3 linked regions of the Drosophila melanogaster genome follow. The gene in region 2 interacts genetically with the main gene of each other region. Each region holds a gene or a part of one and is shown on either strand. Other genes may lie near its edges. The genes, in order: Nup154, Nup62 and Elys.

Region 1 (8,526 bases), on a different chromosome or scaffold from region 2:
CCTTGAGTTTAATTAAACAAATAATAAATAAAACAATAATTTAGGCATTAATAAATAAATCAAATTGATTTTATTAAGTAAAACGACCAATCACAACCAACCCTGATAAGCAACCCTATCGATATATCGATACTATTGTAGTTGATTAACACACCTCTATTTAGCACGTTGTTTTGAAAAATTCACTTGATGCGTTAATGTTAATGTGTTGATAACTGCAACTTTAAATCATGGCGAACACTTATTTCGATGAGTATGAAAACTTGGAGGTAAATAAGATTATAGATCTTCTTGTGAAACTGTACTCATAGTGACCAAACTACAGATCCACGAGCTCATGCTGAAGGATCGTCCTCGGCAAGAAGCCTACTACAATGCGATATTGGGGAATAAGGATCTGTTCAAGGACAAGATCGTAATGGATGTTGGTGCCGGCACAGGGATTCTGTCCGCCTTTTGTGCGAAAGCAGGAGCCCGTTTGGTCTACGCCGTAGAAGCATCCAATGTGGCCACCAAAGTTGCGCTGGATTTGATTGAGGATAACGGCCTGACGAACGTGGTGAAGGTGATCCAGTCGCGTGTTGAGGAATTCGTACTGCCTGCCGAGGCGGAAAAGGTGGACATCATTGTGTCCGAGTGGATGGGCTTCTACCTGCTGCACGAGGGCATGTTGGACTCGGTTCTCCTGGCCCGGGACAAGTTCCTCAAGGAGGGTGGACTCCTGTTCCCCAGCGAGTGCACAATTTTCGTGGCACCCTGCTCGGTACCATCGCTCTTCGATGATTGGCACAACGTGGACGGCATCAAAATGGACACGTTTGCCAGAAAACTCAGAACCCAAAAGTCATCCCGACCGGAGATTACACAGCTGAATCCGCAAGATCTTCTGCACGAGGGCGTCGTCTTTCACTGGATGAATCTGCTGGATGTGGAAGCCAGCGATTTGGACAGCATTCAGTTCAAGGAGGTAATAACAGCCCAGAAGGCGGGCAATCACCAGGGCTTCTGCATTTGGTTCGATGTACAGTTTCCTGGCGAAGATTTTGTTCTAAGCACATCGCCGCTATCCCCGCCAACGCATTGGAAGCAGTGTGTAGTCGTCCTGCCCGAGGAATCCTGCGAAAATCTGGAGGAGAAGTCACCCATTGCATTTCAAATCACAATGAAGCGCAGTGCTGCCGATATGCGTAAATACAATCTGGAGGTGGATTTGCTAGACCCCAACACAGAGGAGCATCCAGTGCCTTGCTCCTGTCACATGACGAAGTGCATTCTGACGGAAGCTCATCTAAAAATGATGGACACCTCATGAGTTACATGCCATCTCGGAATCCGAACAACGATCTGTGGGGAAATCAATTTATTTAACATGTTTAATACAAATACAATATATATCTCAGTCAAACTTAACGTCTAGTCCAGCACTTTCAAAAATTTAATTAAAATAACGCAGGCCGACGGCTTTAAATCAACAACCGCTGCAGCTGACTCTGAAGTTCCTTGAGTGAATGTTGAAGACGATTAGTGTCGGGCTTTTGGTAGCAAATATTCAGGCAGCCGGCCACTATGTCTTGAGCCTTGCCAACAATTCGTCGTCTGCAAGTTAAATGTGAATGTAAGTAAATCGTATCGGCTAGCATTTTACTTTTGCACTTACTTTGACCGGTACCAAATAGATTGTGCGTTGTCTGCCAGAAGCGAGACCACTCGTATGACGGATTGTATTAAATGCCACTCATTACCCTCGTTGGCCCACACTCGTTCGTTCATTGAAATCATTCTGAAAGTTTTTAAAAGTTTAGCCTTTAAACAATTTTATCTCTGCGAAAACCCTTCAATACGTACCTCGAATAGTATTCCAGGAGCAGTTCAATGTCCAAATTCATACTCACCAGTTTTTCCGGCACTATGCCCTCGGGAAATCGCAGTTGGCAGGCTTTAACTTCCAGTTCCCTTATGAGAAAGGCAAAGGGAAAGCAAACTCCAGACTCGCCATACTCCCTTACCAAGATTTCGATTTTCGTGAATAACCTATTGCAGCGCTCACTAGTTGTGCCCGGCTTATCCACAACGCTGTTGATAATCTGGCCCCAAACGGACTCGATCAGTAGGGGGTCGTTGTGATGCGAGCAGTTGAGTATGGACAATTGGCACTCCCAAAGGTCGAAGGGCTCCGCAAAGTGCTGGTATAGCTGAGTTATGTCGTACAACGCATAGTTTAGTTCCTTAACAGCCGTAGCTGCCTCCAGCTTATCGCTAGCCAACTCTGTCATCGCGGCAAGCACTGATTTTTGAACTCGTGCGATGTCCAGCTGAATTTTTAAATTATGTTATTAAATATAGGTCACCACATCTTTCCAGAGATCTTATAACGTACCTTATCCTCTAGCTCTTTCAGGAATATTCCATTGCTTAATGAAGAGCCAACGTTACCATTTCGCATACACATAACAGCACGCACCAAGTACTCAATGCGCTGCTCCAGATTAATGTTTTCACTGCGTGTCATAGCCAAATTGTCCAATATATGGGCTGCCTGGGAATGATGGCTATTCTTTTCGTAGTACTTCCACAGCAAATCGATAAGAACGACATTATCTACATTTTGCGACACACTGCGCCGCAAGAACTCTCCTAATGACGGCTCAACCACGTCTAAAAGCTCTTTGAGCATGTCGTGGGCCAGCAGCCATTCGTAGAGCGTTATATGAATGAGCGGGTCTTTCACCTTTAGGGTATGGGCCACTATTTTTGGAATCGTTTGCGTAGCACCGTTTTTTGCATCGGACGCTTTAGCCGTACCTTTAAGTGGATTTATAGACTTATCCTGAACGTGCGTCTTGTTGCATACTCTCTGGTAGATATGGTCCAGCATAAGTTGCACTTCCTTGTAGTAGGCCATCCTAAGATGTGGAAATAATTAGTTTTTCCAAGAAAAAAAAAAACTATTAAAGAAGTTACCTTGTGGCAAAGCAAGTGTAACCCTCGCGATCATCGGCGGGTTCCCCATTGTTATAGAAATGAACACCAACCTCCTCTGGATCACTTTTTGAGGCACAAACAGCCGAAAGCTCGATCACTCCCTCAAAGAAGTCAGCCGATATGAATTGCATGCAAATACTATGCAGTGGCAATGTGGGAGCAGCTTCCTTGCACATATGCAGGGTGGTTCGCAGCATATGTTCCTTTTCGGTTGCCGAAGTGCAATTCTTTGCATTCATCAACAACTCGGTGGCCTTGTAGGTCACGTCATCCTCATGCCTGTATAGGTTGGGGCAGTTCTCACGTAAGTTCTTGGACACTTCAGACACTCCCGCCGCGTCCTTCAGATACAGATTGATCAGCGAGATGATCAAGAATGCGCAGACCTCTGAACGTGTAATCAGAAGATCCCGGAAGGTGGAGCATGTCAACAACTTCTGATGTTCCGGACTGAGTTGCACGCATATCAGCTGGAAGGAATGCGAGTTTAGGATGTTCCACAGCGATATAACCTCACATGCATGTTCTGCAAACGGCGGTAGATAAGTTCAAGCTTTATGATTTAATATCCCAACTTTACTTACTGACAAATAGGTTGAGAGCGGAAAGCGAACGTGTTTCCTCTACTTGAGCCTGCTCGGACAATACGCGTTGCTCAGGAATTGGCAGCAAAGTGTTGCCCATCATGATGGTGTTATATGAATTGGTTCTATCCAAATGGTTATCAAATGACACTCGAGTAGTCGCTGCAACAATTGTATAATTAATAAGTAAGTACCTTAACTTGCAATAAAAAGTTCACGACTTACAGGAAATATCGTGCACAGAGTGCACTTCCAGAAAGCTACGCAGGGAACGCAGATCGGATAGCAAGAGGGCACACTCACTCTGACTTAGATTAGAGCAAAATTGCTCATTTACACAGCGCATTTGCCAAACAGAATGCAGCATGCGGGAGACATACATGTAAAGTCCGTCGTGTTTGGCCGAGAAAACGATTGGGGAATTCTCGTTACTAACTGCCACCTGTGGTGGCTGCATATTTCCAACTGATAAATACATATTTGTGTTTACTATTTCGCAATCTGGAAGATCTTATTTAACTCACTTGGACTTATGGGCTGATTGAACTGCGATCCAGGAAAACCAACCGGACTATTTGCCACGCTATTCGGCATTGGCGTGGACATAAACATGGATTGACGCTCCCTTACATTCGTCGTATTCGGGCCTAGAGTTTGATTAGCCATATTGCGGTTGCTGGCGTTCAGGAACTTTTGATGCTGATAGCATGGCTCTCCGCCGTACAGCATAAACGCCTGGGCGGCCCACAAAGCAACGTCACTGCCACGATAAGTATCCGATGTGGCCAGCAGCAGAGCCGTGACACATGCCTCTCGCTGATTCTGCGACTGGAAGAACATCTTCACCTCCTCGTGGTGTGGGCCATTGCACGACAGAAGGATCTGACGCAGTACGTCCACCATTTTAAGCACCTCTATGATATGTGTGCCTTGGTTGGTGAGCAGGGCTACTTTGCGGGCGTGTCGGGCACTATTTAAGGGTGACTTTCGTTGTGGCGTCGACGGTTCATGTACCTCAGCCAATCCCCAAACAACTCCATCCAGGCTCTCCAGAGCCGTCGACTCCACCAGGTAGGTAAAGTTAACCGATGGGGCAGAGCTGAGCGACCAGAGGAGATCCTGTTCATGCTGTTGCGTTGTGATCATCAACATGGTTCCCTCCGTGTAGTGAGCGGCATGGACCTGCTTTGGTTTGTTGGTGGTGGCATTTGGGGTGTAGCCGGGTGGTAGACGCACGTGGAGCAGATAAAGTCCCTTAGGAGCCTCAGCATTTGGAGACAGTGGTGGCTGAACTGCTGGCTGACCGAATCCTGTATTCTCACCTGGACTGCAAGGAACCGCGGGACCAAATTGTTGCTTCACATTTAGCGATGTTGTGGAGAAAAAGAGCCGCACACCACACTGAGTAACGGCCACAAGATGTAGTTTGTCGGCATCGTCGGCGCTCAGAGGGCAGATGGCTTTCACACTTTTAAAAATGGACGGGTCCACAGTCCTAAAGTTTAAATAATGGTTATTAATTAACCATACTACAGTTAAATTCTTTGCGAAACTAGCACTTACGTGATCAGACTAACTGCTTGATTCGTAATATCGTTCTGGGTAATCCGACCTAGTCTTCGAGCTGTCGTGTAACTCGTACTGATGTCCCAAGCCTCAATGACACCTTTTTCCGTAAGGACATAGAGAAGCTTGCGACTGTTATCGATCTCAATGTGTTCGATTGGATCCACTTCCTGCAAACAAATCGCGCTAAATAGTTACGGACATTTTTTGAAGTAAAGACAATAGTTACCGAAAAGACCTTCAAAAAACTGGGAACCATATAGGAGACCAGTCCTTGGGAGAGATTTATTTTCTTGCATCGCTTGCCAAACCAACTGGACTCGGCCTGATAGTAAATTTCATAGAGGCAGCCATCGCGACCGCCCAAAAAGATGCGGCCGTCATCCGTTCCTTTGATGACGCTGATGGACACGTTGTCGGTACCAATCACAAAAACTGGCCGGTTCATCAGCTGCATTTCGTTGTACGAGCTCTCACCGAATGTCACGCCCAGGACAATGACCTCAATGGGCGTAGTGAGAACCAGGAGGTACTTGACGTCCTGCACAAAGACGCCGGGTTTTGGTTTCACCAGGCCAACGCTTACGATCAGATGACTGAGGCCATCGTAGTACGCCACATCCCTCGTCTGATTGAACGTCCAGATGTAGATTTCCGAATCGATAGTCAGCCAGGCACGTCCGATTTCCGGAAAGAGGCCCATGGTGCAGTGGCATTTTATGTCTACAACAGGTAGGATCGAAGATTGGAACGGATAGATCTATGGGCTATGAAGCCCAGGATACGTACGCTTAAAGTGCTCCAGAATCTCGTTGGGAATAGCCGACTTGGTCACCGTTCGCATTTGTTGTAGGTTATGTGTTCTATCCGATTTCAAAAACGACAGGCTCTGGTAATCGTAGTCATTAAGTCCGCTCATCGTGGCCCGCCCATGCTGGCTAACGCCGGTCAGCTACAAAGAACGTATCATTAAAGGAGGAGAAGCTGATAAACATCCGTATCCAATACATACTTCCAGCAGACCCGGCTTATTTCTCTCCAGATTGTAATGCCATTCCAGCATACTGGTCGCCGTCGTGAAAAAGTCCAGCTGTGCTTGCGGAAGAGTCATCGTGCTGAAAACTGTGATGAGGCGGGCTAACTCGGGTGCAATGCTAACTTAAAATGCCGTCAGACCACTGTTTTGGGATGAAACTACAAACTAATCTGAAGATTTGGTCGACTGATGCTCAATGTACCCACGCTCCCGCCTTCTGCTAAGTGTTACCAGATATCCTCACATTCTCGGTATTGTTTTGGTATATTTCGATTGAATATTAATGGATTTCACAATTTCAGGCGCCTTAGCGGGGTATTATGAAATCGTCTGTCACAAGAAACATTTGCAAACGTGCATGAAATTAATATTTTAATAATAATTTCTTTTACTGCTAATATATATTATATGATAAGGACGCGTATATTAATAGACAATAATGGTTTTAGTAGGCATATTCAGTGGGCTTAAATACTTTGAAAAAACGTTGATAATTTTATATAAACAGTAACTGTGCTAATACAAGTATAATAAAAAAAGCACTTCCCATGCCGGAAACTTTTGAGAATATAAAAATATTAGAATGTGAAGAGTATAACTCAGTTGAGCGCAACAGGTGTGTTATTCTCTAAAATCGGTAAAACCTCAAACTACTGAATGAATTCAGCATTTCGAAGCTTTGCCAATGGATTTTATAATTGTGATTAAAATCCACTTTCCGCTTTCCCAAATAGACTTGATTTAAGCCTTCTTTTCAAAAAAAAAAAAAAAGACTACTGTAACTCAACACAGAAACTCTAGCGCTTAACAGCACAATGCGTAACGTTAACAGCACCCCAACGGCACATGGCGCTCAAAATTTAGCGCATTTTGTGCGCCTCACACAGCCACATTAAATTTCCCTTCTTTTCTTTTCCCCGTTTCCGGTGAGTAGTGTGTTCCGCGTTATATTTTTATTGAAATTTTAACCCAAAATATCTCTAAAACCACCCCTTGCAGCGAGGAGTCCATCCAGAATTTGTGTCATACAAACGAGGGACTAACGGAGCGTAAGTTTTGTGTGAAAAAGCGCCCCAAAACATCGAATCGAGTGAAACGGCAATTGGCGTGTGGCACTGAAGAGCCGCCGTTTTTCCATTTCCGCTGGGATGGATGATCCATAAACAAATTGGAAAACAATAGGCAGCGCACGTTTTGTTAGCCCGATGTGAACTCTGCGATTCGATGTTTGGAATGCTCTGTGACAAGCACTTGTAGCCTTGATAAACTAATAATTAATGTTTTTGCCGACAGTGTCATCAAGATGCGTACCATTAATTCCAACCAGTGCGTGAAGATCCCTAAGGATATCAAGGCCTCGGTGAAGGCCCGTGTGGTGACCATCACCGGCACCCGCGGCACCCTGAAGCGCAGCTTCAAGCACTTGGCTCTGGACATGTACATGCCCGACAAGCGCACCCTGAAGGTGGAGAAGTGGTTCGGAACCAAGAAGGAGTTGGCCGCCGTCCGCACCGTCTGCAGTCACATCGAGAACATGATCAAGGGTGCGTACAGCTAGGGTAAACACAACAGGAACACTTTCACAGCCAGGCCTTTCATTTGCCAATCACACGAGAATTTAATAATAATATCTGGGAAGACGATTTACTAAACTCCATTCATAGATATCAATTTTCTTTACAAATTACCTAAAAATGCTATATAGTAGTTAGTAAATATTTTCAGTGTGTGCTGGCAAATTAGATTCGGCATTAGGTTCCTAAAGACATTTGCATTCAAAGTACCACACAATTAATTGCAATTTCTCTCTCGCCAGGAGTCACGTTTGGATTCCAGTACAAGATGCGTGCTGTGTACGCCCATTTCCCCATCAACTGTGTCACCTCCGAGAACAACACGGTCATTGAGATCCGTAACTTCTTGGGTGAGAAGTACATCCGTCGTGTGGAGATGGCTCCTGGCGTCACCGTGGTCAACTCCACTGCCCAGAAGGACGAACTTATCGTGGAGGGAAACGATATTGAGTCTGTCTCCGGATCTGCCGCCCTCATCCAGCAGTCCACGACCGTCAAGAACAAGGATATCCGTAAGTTCCTTGACGGTCTGTACGTGTCCGAGAAGACGACCGTTGTGAAGCTAGAGTCTTAGACTTTTGGAATGTGTTTCAACCTAAAATGTTAATAAAAAAAAACCAACGGCCGAAACTTTCAATAAGAAATTTAGTGTCTTTAAACTTTTGTAATATAATGTATTCAGATTTTATCACAATGCTCCACTAAAAAAGTGATGATTGGTTGAAAATTCGTTGGTAAGATTGTGTTATTTATCTTATTTATTTATTTGCAAGGTTTCATAAGT
Region 2 (4,487 bases):
AGCTCAACTATGTGGAGGTGCCCATGGAAAAGGTGCTCTTCGGCGACAGGCAGCGACTGCTCACCAATCTAGCCAAGTCCGTGGGACAAAAGTTGCCGAACGATGACGAAGACGAGCAGGAGGAAAATCCCGGCCAGGCAAAGCCAGGCGACAAGCGGAAAGCCGCCTGGTCGGATTCCGATGACGAGGACCTGCAGGTGGGCGATGTCAAGAAGGCCACAAAGCACACGGGTCCACTGAACCACCTGCGCAAGGATAAATCGTACAAGGAGTATCTTACGGCGCGATTCCAGCGCACGCTTAACCAACCCAAGTGGGCGGAAAAGAAGGTCAAAAATGAGGACGACGAGGACGTATCCTCCGACGAAGAACTGCTGCGGACGGTTGGCTTTATCGATCGTAAAGCCCGGAACAGTGATCTGCCCCAGAAGACTCTGAATTTTAAACGGGTCAAAGACCTGAACAGGGCCACATATGCCGAGGGTAATGCCACCAGCATTCAGTTTCATCCAACCAGTACTGCTGCTCTAGTGGCGGGCATGAATGGCCTAGCCACCATCTACGCCGTGGATGGGCAAAAGAACGAAAGGTTGCACAACATGCGCTTCAAGAAGTTCCCGCTGGCGTGCTCCAGAATTGCTCCATGCGGCACAAGGGCGTTCTTTGGTTCTGTGAAACCATTCTACTACTCCTACGACTTGCTGGAAGCCAAGGAATCGAAGCTAAAGCTGCCGGGCGCAATGGAATTTATGCACCGCTTTGAGGTGTCTCCATGTGGCAAATTTATCGTCACTGCTGGCAAGTTTGGAGCCATTCACCTGCTCACGGCCAAAACAAATGAGCTGCTGCACAGCTTCAAGCAGGAGGGCAAAGTGAAGGGATTCACATGGTCTAGTGACTCCAAGAGGATCCTCGTCTGCGGTTCCACTTCCAATGTCAGCGTGCTGAACCTGCGCCAGAACCTCATCGAGCACATCTTCATGGACGACGGCTGTATACATGGAGAGTCCATTCAACTGTCTCCCAACCAACGCCTACTGGCCACCGGCAGTCAAGAGGGCGTGGTCAACATCTACGACTACGAGAGCATTTTCGCATCCAAGGCCCCACAACCCGAGAAGCGCTTCATGAACCTACGGACTGCCATCACGGATCTCCAGTTCAATCACTCATCTGAGCTACTGGCGATGTGCTCCAGTGAGGCGCCGAATGCTTTTAAGCTGGCCCATTTCCCCAGCGCCACTGTGTACTCCAATTTCCCGGCACAGAACGAGAAGGTTGGCTTTGTGACCTCCATGGCCTTTTCGCCGCACAGCAGCTTCCTGGCCTTTGCCACTAAGGGCAAACAGGTGCCGCTCTTTAGGCTTAAGTACTTCAAGGGTTATTAATTGAAGGCAGTATGATGTTTACAATAAATTCTTAAATAAAATCATTACTCTTTCTGTGGTTACAATGGAACCATCTTTATTTAAGTTAACAAATTAAGGGGACTTATCTTTAGAAAGGAGCTCGGAAAATATCGCGTTTCTGGGAGTCTTGAATCTTGCCAATGTCTTCCAGCTTCTTGCTGATGTTCGTCGACTGCGATTCGATCCACTGCAACGAATTCATATGGGCATTAAGGATTTTTCCGATCTGTATGATGGGATCAGTGGTGTCCTGGCCCTTGTTGGCCTCGTTCAAGTTGTCTATTATCTCCTTTAGATCCTCGGACATCTGCTTCAGTTGTGTGTCCAGATTCTCCACCATCAGGTAGGTTTGGCTGCGTTCCATGTCCACCCTCGGGAGATTAACGAATTCCTTCTCAAGCGGTCCCAGGCTGTCCTCAAGCTCTTTTTGCTGCGTGGCTATAAACTCCAGCTCCTGGTCCAGCACTTGCTGATCGGTTTTCACTTTTTTCACGGCATCGTTGAGCTCGACGATCTTCCCGTTGTTGCTGATGAGCAGTTTGTCCCATGCGTTGATCTGAGTGGCCTGTTCGGTGAATACCTTTTCCTGTTCCTCGAACTCGAGAGTCCACTTGTTGATATGCTCCTCAAGTTGGTGGTAGGACAATTGGGATGCCGTGGAAACGGCCGATGAGTCTGTGGTCTTGGTTTCGGTAGTGAGATTGGCAAAAGCACCACCAGTACTTAAAGTTGGGGCCGGTGCAGCTCCCTGCGTGGAGGCTATGGCCGACGGAGCTGCAGTCAGAGTTGTGGACGCAGCGGCCGTGGTCTTGGGAGCTCCCAATCCAGACCCGCCCAGCAATCCAGTTGTGGTAGCTGCGGTGTTGGGTGCACTGGTTGCTATAGTTGGCACCACAGATGCCGCTGGTTGAGCCGTAAAGCCTCCGAAGGCGGGAGGAGCAGCAGAGGTTCCAGTCGCGGTCGCAGAAGTGGTGGACGCTGGATTTGCGGCGGCTTGAGTGCCCAGCGTGAGGGGAGCTGAAGCAGTCCCGGATCCCAGGCCAAATCCAAAGGCTGGTGGAGCCTGCGCCTTGCTGTTGTCTGCATCTCCGCCACCGATACCAGCAGTAGGTGCCGGTGTTCCGAAAGAGAATGTGGTTTTTGTGGCGGGAGCCGTGGTTGCTGCTCCTGAAGCTGGTGCTGCGGCTGGTGTTCCTGTGCTGAGGCCGAAGGAAAACGACGATGTTGCGCCTCCGGTCGGGGCGGCGGTTGTTGTTGGCAACTGGAATACCATGCTTAAACTTAAGACGAATAATATAAATCTAAATCAAACGAAACACGCCAAAAGCAACCAGTGTGACCCCTCCTTGGAGTTCCGCAATGTTGTCGGTGTTGGAAATCAACTAAATTTGAGCTCAAGCTAGCTATTTTCAAGCCAAAACACTTAGCAGTTTGAAGATTGGGCGGCAAAATTAAATTTTAAATTTCTTTGAATTGGCAATACAAATGAAGTACTTTGCTCAGTCGACGATACATTTTTGTTACTAAAACATGCTGAAAACCAAAACATTTATATTATTTTAACGTTTGCAATCACTTTTTGCACTTTTAAAATATATTTATGTCTGTGTCCGTTTTTTTAACCAGCGATCAACTAACTTGCGAAATCGACAAACAACACTGGTCGAGAGCTATGTTTTAGCTCCAGTTTTAGTCGTACATGGAACAAATCATTCCGCGCAACTTAAATAAAAAAACCAACTCAGAAAGAAAACGTAGTCAATCGTACAAACAAAATCAATAACAAAACACCGGCTTTAATTAGTCATCTTTTGCTATCTGTAAGTGCAAAGGCGATAAGGTAACATTTGGGTCAAAAGAATTCAATTACAAGCCCAAAGTGCAGCGGCACTCAGTTCAGTAATTGCATTTTGCTAAATCAGCTAAACACATGTGTGCTTCCTATCAGAAGGTTCGTTCTGCGTACCTGTGTAGGTTCTCTTCAGAGCTGCCAGCCACAAAATTAGAAAAATTACCTAAGGTACAAACGTAATGCGGTACAACAATTAGAGCTTGTCTTTGACCTTCGGTTTTTTTTTTTTTTGTAATAAGATTCTTTTTAAGATTTTCATAAGATCTGAGATCTGATCCTCAAAAACAGAAATTTTAAATTATTCTTAAAAACCAGATCAAAATTTTCTAATAAAAGACCATAGTTCCTATGTTTTGTTAGTACATGTTTTCCCATCACTAGTACCGTGCTCTAGTCTACTATGCTTCCAACTATTTCCCCAACTTTGTTGACCAGTGTAGCTGGCAAGCAGCGCCAGAATTGAACAACAAAAGCATATCAGAATCAAAAGCCCCTGTTCTCGGTCTCTCCTCGATTTTCTCTATTTGCTCCCTGTGATCGCTGTGAACTTGGCGTGATAAGGGGCTCCGGCTCCTCCTGCAATCGAGAAAGCCCGCTGTTTGCGCCACCCGGCGAACACCAATCAGTCGATGGGAGTACTCCGCTGCAATAGCAATTAGCCACTAACCTTCTGTCAGCTCTTCAGGTGCCATTCCCCTACCTCCAGCTCCTCAGGTGCCCCTGCCAAACAGAGTTATCTGGAGTGCCGCCCGCTGGAGAATATAAATTCCCTGGGTGCCCAAAGGCCAGGATTCAGTCGGTGCCACTAGCTCGCCATGTACGGAACGTGGGGCGTCTTTCTGGGCGGGATTCTTCTGCTGCAGGTTCTGCAATTATCCATGGGCCTCGATAATGGCCTGGCACTAAAGTGAGTATTAAATTTTGATTGGATTCTAGGCCACTTAATTGAAATTCTGTCGATTTTAGGCCACCTATGGGCTGGATGTCCTGGGAGCGGTAAGAAATATTTACCAGCAACTAGATTAGATCATAAAGAATTATCATTACGTCTAACATTTAAAATAAATAAACTTTAATAGTTAGTAAAAATTAGGCCTTGGCATGAACTCTACACGCTACGCTGCAATAACGCTTTTGTTTATTTCATTGCTGATATAACTAACACTACTGATATAACTATAGTCTATTTAAAGATTCTCTGAATTTTTGATTACCCATGTCTTACT
Region 3 (8,445 bases), on a different chromosome or scaffold from region 2:
AAGGTCCGAGGGACTATGCTCGTCGATCACCTCCAGCAGATATTTGTGCTGCAACCCACGACGCTTGGGAGTCGAGACTGGTGGATTGGATGCGGGCGATAAAGTTGGGGCGTCGGTGCTGCGCAAAGACATCGTGCGACCAGCGACTGGAGTCGGACTATCGCGATGCTCCTGGGAGACGCGACGAGGTCGCAGAGTTCGCGGACTGTCCTGGTGCTCCGTGAAGCTGCGACGCGGTCGCAATGTATGAATCGCCCGTGTTGGCACATCTTGCTCCTCCTCATCCTCATCACCGGAGAAAATCAGCTTCAGGCTGTGTCTTGAATCCTCCTCTTCGGGCAATAGTGGTTCTGGATTATGTTGGGTTTCCTCCTCGGAAGCTTCCTTGCTCTCCGTCTTGTCTCCTTCTTTGGGCTGCTCATCCGCCACATGTTCGACCTTCACAACGACCTGCTCTTCGGCTTCTGCGTCGACATCCTCTTCTGGAATTTCCCCAAGACCACTAGACTGCGTTGCTTGCCCTGCTGGCAAGGGTTCCAACTCCGGCACCTCCAGCACCTCCAGCACGTTCGGCACCTCATCCACCGCCATCTCGATATCCACATCGGAAAGTACTGGCAAGGGTTCCATCTCCGGCACCTCCAGCACCTCCAGCACGTCCGGCACCGCATCCACTTCCATCCCGATATCCATATCGGCACGTGGCTGCTTTTGCTCGCTAAACTCAACTGTGGCCACTGACTCGTTGCTCGGGGTCTCCTCCTCCATTGGCCAATCCTTTCGCTGCTCCGGCTGAGTATCCTTTTCCTTCGCCGTCTCCTCATCGCTATCTAGGACAATGGTGTCGGCCACATCCGAGTCGCTGTTGACCGTGGCGCCCAGCGAAAGGAATGGACTGGGGACACCAGCCGCCTCCTCCTGACATTCGTCCTTGAAGGCGAACAGCTCCGCACTGCTGGAGGCCGCCGATTGCTGGGGTCGGGCGACATAGCCGCGCACTTCTGTTCCATCCAGCGCTATGACGCAATCATCATCGTCGTACTCCTCCTCTTCCTCCAGCGAGCCCTTGGTGGTGTCCAGGTCGTCAACCGTTTCCAGACTATTGGCGCGGTACAATGAGATCGGCGTGCCATCTCCATCCTCGCCATGAGGTGCCTGCGGACTAGATGTCTGTGATACGTTCGTGTCGCTGGGCAGGAATGAGGTGGGCGTGTGCGTAACCGATCGGGATGTGGTTATGGAGCCCGGCGACTCAACAACGATGGAGTACATTGGGTCATCGGTGTGCAGTGTTGGCAGCATGGGATTCCGAATGCCGGCCGAGGACACGTTCGAGTCTTCGCTACTGAGGCTGTAGATGGGCGAGGAGAGGGGCTCCTGGGCCGTTCCTTCTGAGTTGCTTAGGAACGCCAGCTGACCACCGGTCGCCAAAGGCTCCTGCGCCTGATCCTCATCCTGATCCTGCTCTTGCTCCGGCTTCTGCTCGTCCTGTGGATTCTGTTGCTCCTCAAGCGATTTTGTGTCACCCAGCTTCAGTTCCTCTTCGTTCTCCACATCCTGAGTATCTTGCTGCTCAAGTGACGCCACATCGTAAGTGGACATTCCCAGCGTGGTGTCCATCATCTGGTGGTGCCCCTGTATAGCCGGCCTTGCTGATGGCAGAGACCACTGTGCGCTGGGTGCGGCCGTCAATTCTGCACCAAGATCGGTGGATTCCATTTCGCCACAGATGGTAGTGCGCTCGGAAATCTTAATCCCACAGCTGCCGCTGGAGAAGACCTGTGACTGCGTCTCGCCCATCTTGGACGAGCAGACGGTGGGCACAAACTGGGAATGTGATGACGTCTGAGCCGGCTGGACAGTGCTGAAGCTACCGAATCCACTACTACTCTCGCTCCCTGTTGCAGTACCAATCTTGCTACCGCTTCCATTTCCCCCATGTAGCAATGAGTTTCGGGGCTGTGGTCCTGCTGGTGGGGCGAAATAATGAGGAGAATTCCGCGATGGTACCGGATCCACCAAAGACACATTGGCCGATACTAAAGGCGAGAGGAACTCATCCTCCTCGTCGGACTCATAGCTGCAGGCGCTCCTTGGTTCGCTTCTTGACTCGATCTCCACAATGATCTCGTCAGTTTCCTCCTCACCCTCAGCCGCACCTTCGCTGCCCATCTCCGTCGATTTATCAGATTTATCAGTTCGCAGAGGAATGGGCGGCACAAAGCGAAATCTTTTTGGCCCCGCCAGCGCTGTGAATGTAGCCACCGGCGGAGCTCTCTTAACGGCATCCACGGCCCCGCTTCCCTTCAGGATCGGTGGAATCGGCTGTGGCGAACTGCTGCTCTGGCGTATCGTCGTCGACTGTCGCGCCTGGAGGAAATTTGGCGGCTGCAATAGATTGGTCGCCTCGTTTTGCTTGACCTCTTCCTGCTCCATTTGGTTCGAACTTTTTTCTCGAATGGATCTCACATAGTCTTTAACATCCTCCACCATTCGTTCAACCATCAGACAAGGACGCTTATTGGGACGCTCCGTGCCTAGCTGCCTCTGGTCCTGTAGATTGGTACGCTGATCCTCTAGCTCCCGCTGTCGTTTCTCCACCACCTGGTGTGGTACCGGCTTTACTATGCGCCGAGGAAGTGGAAGCTCCGAATGTCCGTATTGCGCGTGCCGCAGGAATGGCACATTGGTGTAGCCTATTTTTGATTGGATCGAAACGGGAGTCATCTTTGGAGGGGACTCGCATTGCGTTGCCCAGTGGGCACTGACGGCAGAACTCTGAAAGATGCCGCCCAATTGGCCGCTGGCGTTCTGTTTGACCAGCTGGCAGCTGAATGGCTCCAAGGGACCGGTCTTTTGGTAGGGCTCCAAGGTGTCTCTGATGCGAAGATACGTGCCGGCGATGTTCTGTGTAACTGGTCCCATTGTAGCGCTGTATGCTGGGAGTATTGTATTGGATGATTCATCTCGCTCCCGCTCGGCGGCCACCTCATCCATAAAGGACACGGCCTCGATGAACTTGCTCTTTTGAAGCAGCATTATCAATTGCACGCAATCCGTCTGACGCGATCTGCACTGGCGCAGTAGACTGTACAACAGCCGTTCCTCTGGCTCTCGCAGGTACAGCTCGGCCAAAACTTTGAAGCGTCTGATTTCAATGCAGTGGCGGAAGAAGCGCTCCAGCAGCGGCTGTCCATCCTCGTCGTCGTCGAGGCGAGCGATTTGGAATGCTTCCGTTATGTTTTCGTTGGCTAGGAGCACTTTCATGTGCAGCGCCGAGGACAATGGACCGGGTGGTCGACTGACCACCTTCTTGGCTGCCTTGACGGCACCTTCAGCCAGCAGTTTATCTATTAACAGCCGCATCTGCCACGATTTCAAGTTCTTAGCGGGGGCAGGCTCCTTGTATAGCTCCTCTACGCCTCGCTGTAATCAAATACATCACAAAACGAATGAATATAACACTTTCGCTTATATTAACCGATCCGAACTCACCTCGTAATCGCCGTGGTCCAAGTACCAGAAGCAGCGCAATGACGTGGCCAGATCTTTGTCCAGCTGAAAGGCAATCTGAAAGCGCCCGACCAGCTGTTGGTTCAGGTCCATCAGCAGGTAGAGGATAAGAGCATGTTTGTGACAGAGTTCTATGTCGGGACTGAGCATCAAGTGTATATACGCATGCAGCGAGTCCGGCGGATAGGGTTCCGGAAAGGAGGCGCGTTTTCCCAGAGAATCAATGTAGAGGATCTTTCCCTGCGCTCGTTTTTCCGAGTACTCGTGTTGCAGGCGAACGAAGGCCTGCTCGCCGGGTACCAGATTATCCATGTGCTGACCCTCCGGCAGGAGGCCGTGATCGATAAACCAAAGCAGCACTCTTTGGTACTCGAGAACCGTTTTCAGCGCCCTCTCGTTGGCACGGCAATCGTCCAAAATTGAGGAGGTTAGCCTGCGCCGTCCCTGCTCGACAATGTAGGACTGCAATCGTACCAATTCACGCAGCTGACCGGATAGCACTTGAAACTCGCGCCGTTCCCGCTGGTCCAGTGGATAGCCGCCGTAATCAAAGATGCCATGGCAAAGTTCCGAGCACCTCGTCTTGATCTGTCCGGCGCGCTTCAAGATCCAGTTGGTCAGCGTGGACAAGGAGAGTTGCGTGTTATCAATCATGTTGCACAAGAAGCTGCCATCCATCCAACTCCGTGCGCAGTCGTTAAGCAAAGCTCCGCAGTTGTGCTCCAGGGCCACCGACAGTATCAACTCGTACATGGCAATCTAGAGAGCAAGATAATGCAATGTTACTTTAAAACGAGTATAACGAGCATGATTCATTTCCCCAAAGACTGTGGTACTATATGATACCAGAAGATTTCCGGATAACTGATAATAATAACCTAGTGTGTAGCTCACCTTAGAGAATGTGGCGTTAGGGTTAAGCTCACAAAATTGTGGCAGGAGACGCAGGCGAACGATGTCCTCGTGGTAGATCTGAGGACGCAAAAAGAGCGTGGCACGATCACAGCGAAGTGCGTTCAGAAACCGATGCTGCACTCCGTCCTGGGCGTAGTACCGTTTGCCAGTTGGAGTTAACAGTGAGCAATCTGGAAATAGACGGTATTACTTGGCTATTAATCTTACTGGCGCTGGCTTCAATCACCGCTGTCACTTACCAAAGGTTAGTGAGTTGGGATAAAAGTGCTCATCGTAGCGCTGCAGTGAGACAAAGTGCAATATGGTGGTGGAACGCAAATCCAATGCCAGTCCCGTCTGTAGACCACTGAGTATGTAGCCGGACATGTAATTAGGAACTTCGTTTTTGTGAACGGATGTGGGCATCTCATCCTTGTACCACTGATTAATGTCGAACAGGACTAGCTTGTTCTTTTTATCTGCACTTGAGTGCCACGAGATGACAATCAGCAGCGTTCCGTTGTCGCCGGCAAAACTGAAAGTAGACGCCGTGGCGCAGCCGATCACGGAGCAGATGCCTCCGTCCAAGATTTGGCGGTTGCGCACGGTTCTAGAACGGTAGTCCTGCGAAGCAAGAAGTCAATATTGGTCTGTGCGTGACGGCTCAAGATTTCTCACCTTAAAACGGATCGTGTGGGTTTCCCGGTCCCGGTACGAGCCCCTGTAGCAGACCGAGTGCAGCATCATTTGCAGGACGTCGATATTTTGGTACAATGCACAGATGTAGAAACAGGGTTTGGGGTCATCCGGTGGCATAATGAGGCACATTCGCTTCACTGCTCTATTGACCCCTTTCCTTTTTACTGGCGAATTCAGATCAGTGGTCACGTCGAAGTTGATTAGGTCGTAGATCAGGATTCGGCCGTCTTCTAGACCAGCAGCATAGCCGGGCGCCATGCTAATGCCCATAAGGCAACTGATTCCAATGGATGCCACTGTTGGTAAATTGAAGGTTAACCTAGCTACCATGGCACACTGGCAGTGACAGACTCACCGTCCATCCGCACAGCCAAGTGAGCCCCTTTGGAGCGACAATGGGTCAGCTTGGAGCTGAGTTGCCTCTTGGACTCCTCGGAGGATACAAAGTATAGGTTCCCGTCCGACGGCTCATCTTTGGAACTGGGGGAGCAAAGGCTGCGCCTTTGGGTACTCGCCTGCAGGCTGTCGCTGTTCAGATCAACCAACAGCACAGTGCCTTCCTCGGTGGCCACGGCCAGACAGCCTTTAAACCGTCTCAGTCGCGTGAGTCCATAGATTCTTTTATCGAGGAACGTCAGCGCGCTGCACGTTATACCGTGAAGGTCGAAGCGGCGGAGCACCTGACTGTTGCGAATGGCATAGATGAGCACCTGCGTGCTCAACGGGCAGTCGATGGGTCTCTGATCGCCGCTGTTCCATGACTCCAGGCAGATGGCTAGCATAGCGGGGCGTTCGTGTTCGCCGGGGAAGAGCTCCTCCACGCAGCGAATGCTTTTGCGCGGCCCCAGATCATCGGATTCGCTCCAGAAGCAGTGCCAAGAAAGGTAATCGCCGGTGGACATGCTGCAGACCAGCAAAGTGGCATCGCTTCCATACCGCCAGGTCACCCAGCCCCATTGCCCGTCGCGTATGATGCCGCCCAGGTATTCGGCTGTAAAGGGATAGCGGAGATTCTTGGTGAATCGGTTTCGGCACACGCCGTATTTTGTGCACACTTACCGGCGTCCAAATGTGCCGACGGCTCCCGGCCAAATCCGGGTACTATGCGCTCCGGGAACGCAATCGTGCGGCTACCGTCCAACTCCACTTCGTGCCACTCCATCTCTATTTCATCAATGCCGGCCGCTTGCAAATAAAAATAAAATTATAAATACAGCGCTCTTGCACCGATTGATCGGCGTGTATGTTTTGTGTGTGCGTGAGTGTGTGAGTGCCTGAGCGGCCTGGCGTTGCCGCCTCGATTTGGCATACAAAAAAACCGTTGTTTTGCTTGTCGTGTATGCACGCTGAGTGGCCCAGTGCTGGCTAACGTCCGACAGAGATTCGCAAATTTAGCGATGGCAAGGACTTGAGTTACTAGTTACCATATATTTCTGTACATTTTCAATTTTTTCTATATACATGCTTAAACAAGTTTGTAACTGAGAGGCAAGCCAATCATTTGAAGAAAAGACTAGAAGCCGGCACTTGCAGCCTGGCAACTTCAACACCAGCAGACTGGCAACGCTGCAGAATTGCGAAAATATTGCGCGAATTTCATAAGGAACTCAACCGGCTGGCTTTGCATTTGAAGTCCGAATGAACACAGATAGTAGCAACCTTGAAGCGTAATGCCTTGTATCACTCAATTCAGGCATATATAGCTCCGAGTCAAGCTCTTAGTACATACAATAGCAACAATACTATCTGGCAACTTTCGTGCGCCGCTTGTCAACCCTGTCCCGTGCGATTTGCTGCACATTGTTCTAAAACAACCCAGCCGGAAAAGCGGTTTCAGTAGTGGTCTACTTCTATATGCGACTCAAATGTGAGAGACCTGACCAGAGGCTGTGTTCCAGGCAATAGGCGCTACCCAGGGCGATCATCGGTGCCCACAGGCAATCCCAACCAGAACACCAACACACCACAATCCCAGCTCACGCATTCCGCATTTCGCACACGGAACAGACCACACAACACACAGCACATAGCACATAGCACACACGCACACAGGTAGCGGCAGCTCTTTTAATCTTCCAAAACGTTGTCTGGCTCGCTGGCTGGTTGGCTGGCTCCACAAAAGCATTGGTCACAGACAACGCACGAGGGGATCGCGGCGGAGATCGAGAGGCTAGGCGAGATTTGGGTTTCGAGCGGTGGGCAGGGGCAAGCAGAGGTAAGTGGAGCACATGGCGCCCGTTGCAGGAAGAAGCCGCACCCAGGAAATTTGTTTCAATTCCAATCTAACGCAATACCCACAGGTAGACGCTAGCTAGCGATGTCCCAGCACGGAGGCACCGAGGCTCTGGCCGCCGAACTGGCCTCGGCCATCGATCTAGTCATGAACCCGATGACACAGCAACAGGCGCGCCTGGAGGCCTACATGGCCTGTGAGCGGTTTAAGGAGGAGTCGCCAATGTGCGCCCAGGTGGGCCTATTCCTGGCCAGCTCGCCGCAGTCTAACCAGCAAGTGCGACACTTTGGCCTGCAGCTGATCGAGTACACAATCAAGTACCGATGGAATTGCATTACGCACGAGGAGAAGGTGTACATTAAGGACAATGCCATCAAGATGCTGAACGTGGGCGTGGGCCCGGCGGAGGACCGCTCGCTGCTGCCCACGAAGGACGCGCTGTCGCGCATCATCGTCGAGATGATCAAGCGCGAGTGGCCGCAGCAGTGGTCCGACCTGCTGCCGGAGCTAAGCCAGGCCTGCACCAAGGGCGAGGCCCAAACGGAGCTGGTGCTTCTGGTCTTCTTGCGACTGGTGGAGGACGTGGCCCTATTACAGACAATCGAGTCGAATCAGCGGCGAAAGGACATGTACCAGGCGCTAAACAACAACATGAACGACATCTTCGAGTTCTTCCTGCGCCTGGTGGAGCAGCATGTGACTGCGTTCCGCGAGACAACGCGTCTGTGCAACTACACCAAGGCGAACGCGCACAGCCGTGTCGTCGAGATGGTACTGCTCACGCTGAGCGGCTTCGTCGAGTGGGTCAGCATCCAGCACATCATGTCCAGCAATGGCAAACTGATGCACTTCCTCTGCATCCTGCTCAACGACAAAGCATTCCAATGCAATGCGGCCGAGTGCCTGGCGCAGATCACGAACCGCAAGGGCCAGACCAAGGAGCGAAAGCCGTTGCTTCAGCTGTTCAACGAGGAGCCGCTGCGCTACATCTACCAGGCCAGTCAGATACCGGCCGACACAAGTTCCACACTGGCCGTCGAGCAGCACCTCAACTTCCTTAAGAAGTTGCTGCAAGTGCTGAACGGCATGGCGCAGCAACTGGTGGC

Evidence for each region.
Region 1: of Nup62 (region 2) and Nup154, changing one suppresses a phenotype caused by changing the other (phenotypic suppression), as found in Drosophila melanogaster (one study listed by BioGRID).
Region 3: of Nup62 (region 2) and Elys, changing one enhances a phenotype caused by changing the other (phenotypic enhancement), as found in Drosophila melanogaster (one study listed by BioGRID).

Annotation. Positions count from the first base shown.
Region 1 is NT_033779.5:11,002,697-11,011,222, reverse strand, and holds Nup154 (nucleoporin 154kD), read right to left. Parts: upstream 6,404-8,526; 5' UTR 6,244-6,403; coding exon 6,145-6,243; intron 6,085-6,144; coding exon 5,922-6,084; intron 5,856-5,921; coding exon 5,362-5,855; intron 5,303-5,361; coding exon 5,130-5,302; intron 5,062-5,129; coding exon 4,091-5,061; intron 4,032-4,090; coding exon 3,792-4,031; intron 3,729-3,791; coding exon 3,567-3,728; intron 3,509-3,566; coding exon 2,962-3,508; intron 2,904-2,961; coding exon 2,378-2,903; intron 2,313-2,377; coding exon 1,846-2,312; intron 1,781-1,845; coding exon 1,658-1,780; intron 1,597-1,657; coding exon 1,464-1,596; 3' UTR 1,313-1,463; coding exon of another isoform or gene 326-1,312; 3' UTR 302-325; downstream 1-301. Other genes in the region: Art8 (arginine methyltransferase 8), read left to right, coding at 231-269, 326-1,312; RpL9 (ribosomal protein L9), read left to right, coding at 7,472-7,712, 7,985-8,316. UniProt on the Drosophila melanogaster protein: Component of the nuclear pore complex. Has a role in the organization of the inner nuclear membrane proteins at the nuclear envelope.
Region 2 is NT_033778.4:16,342,776-16,347,262, reverse strand, and holds Nup62 (nucleoporin 62kD), read right to left. Parts: upstream 2,887-4,487; 5' UTR 2,683-2,886; coding exon 1,498-2,682; 3' UTR 1,435-1,497; downstream 1-1,434. Other genes in the region: wcd (wicked), read left to right, coding at 1-1,388; CG7997 (uncharacterized protein), read left to right, coding at 4,077-4,168, 4,228-4,257. UniProt on the Drosophila melanogaster protein: Essential component of the nuclear pore complex. The N-terminal is probably involved in nucleocytoplasmic transport.
Region 3 is NC_004354.4:19,650,279-19,658,723, reverse strand, and holds the start of Elys (elys), read right to left. Parts: upstream 6,420-8,445; 5' UTR 6,269-6,419; coding exon 6,166-6,268; intron 6,098-6,165; coding exon 5,462-6,097; intron 5,403-5,461; coding exon 5,086-5,402; intron 5,032-5,085; coding exon 4,668-5,031; intron 4,599-4,667; coding exon 4,408-4,598; intron 4,273-4,407; coding exon 3,496-4,272; intron 3,427-3,495; coding exon 1-3,426. Other genes in the region: Ranbp21, read left to right, coding at 7,424-8,445.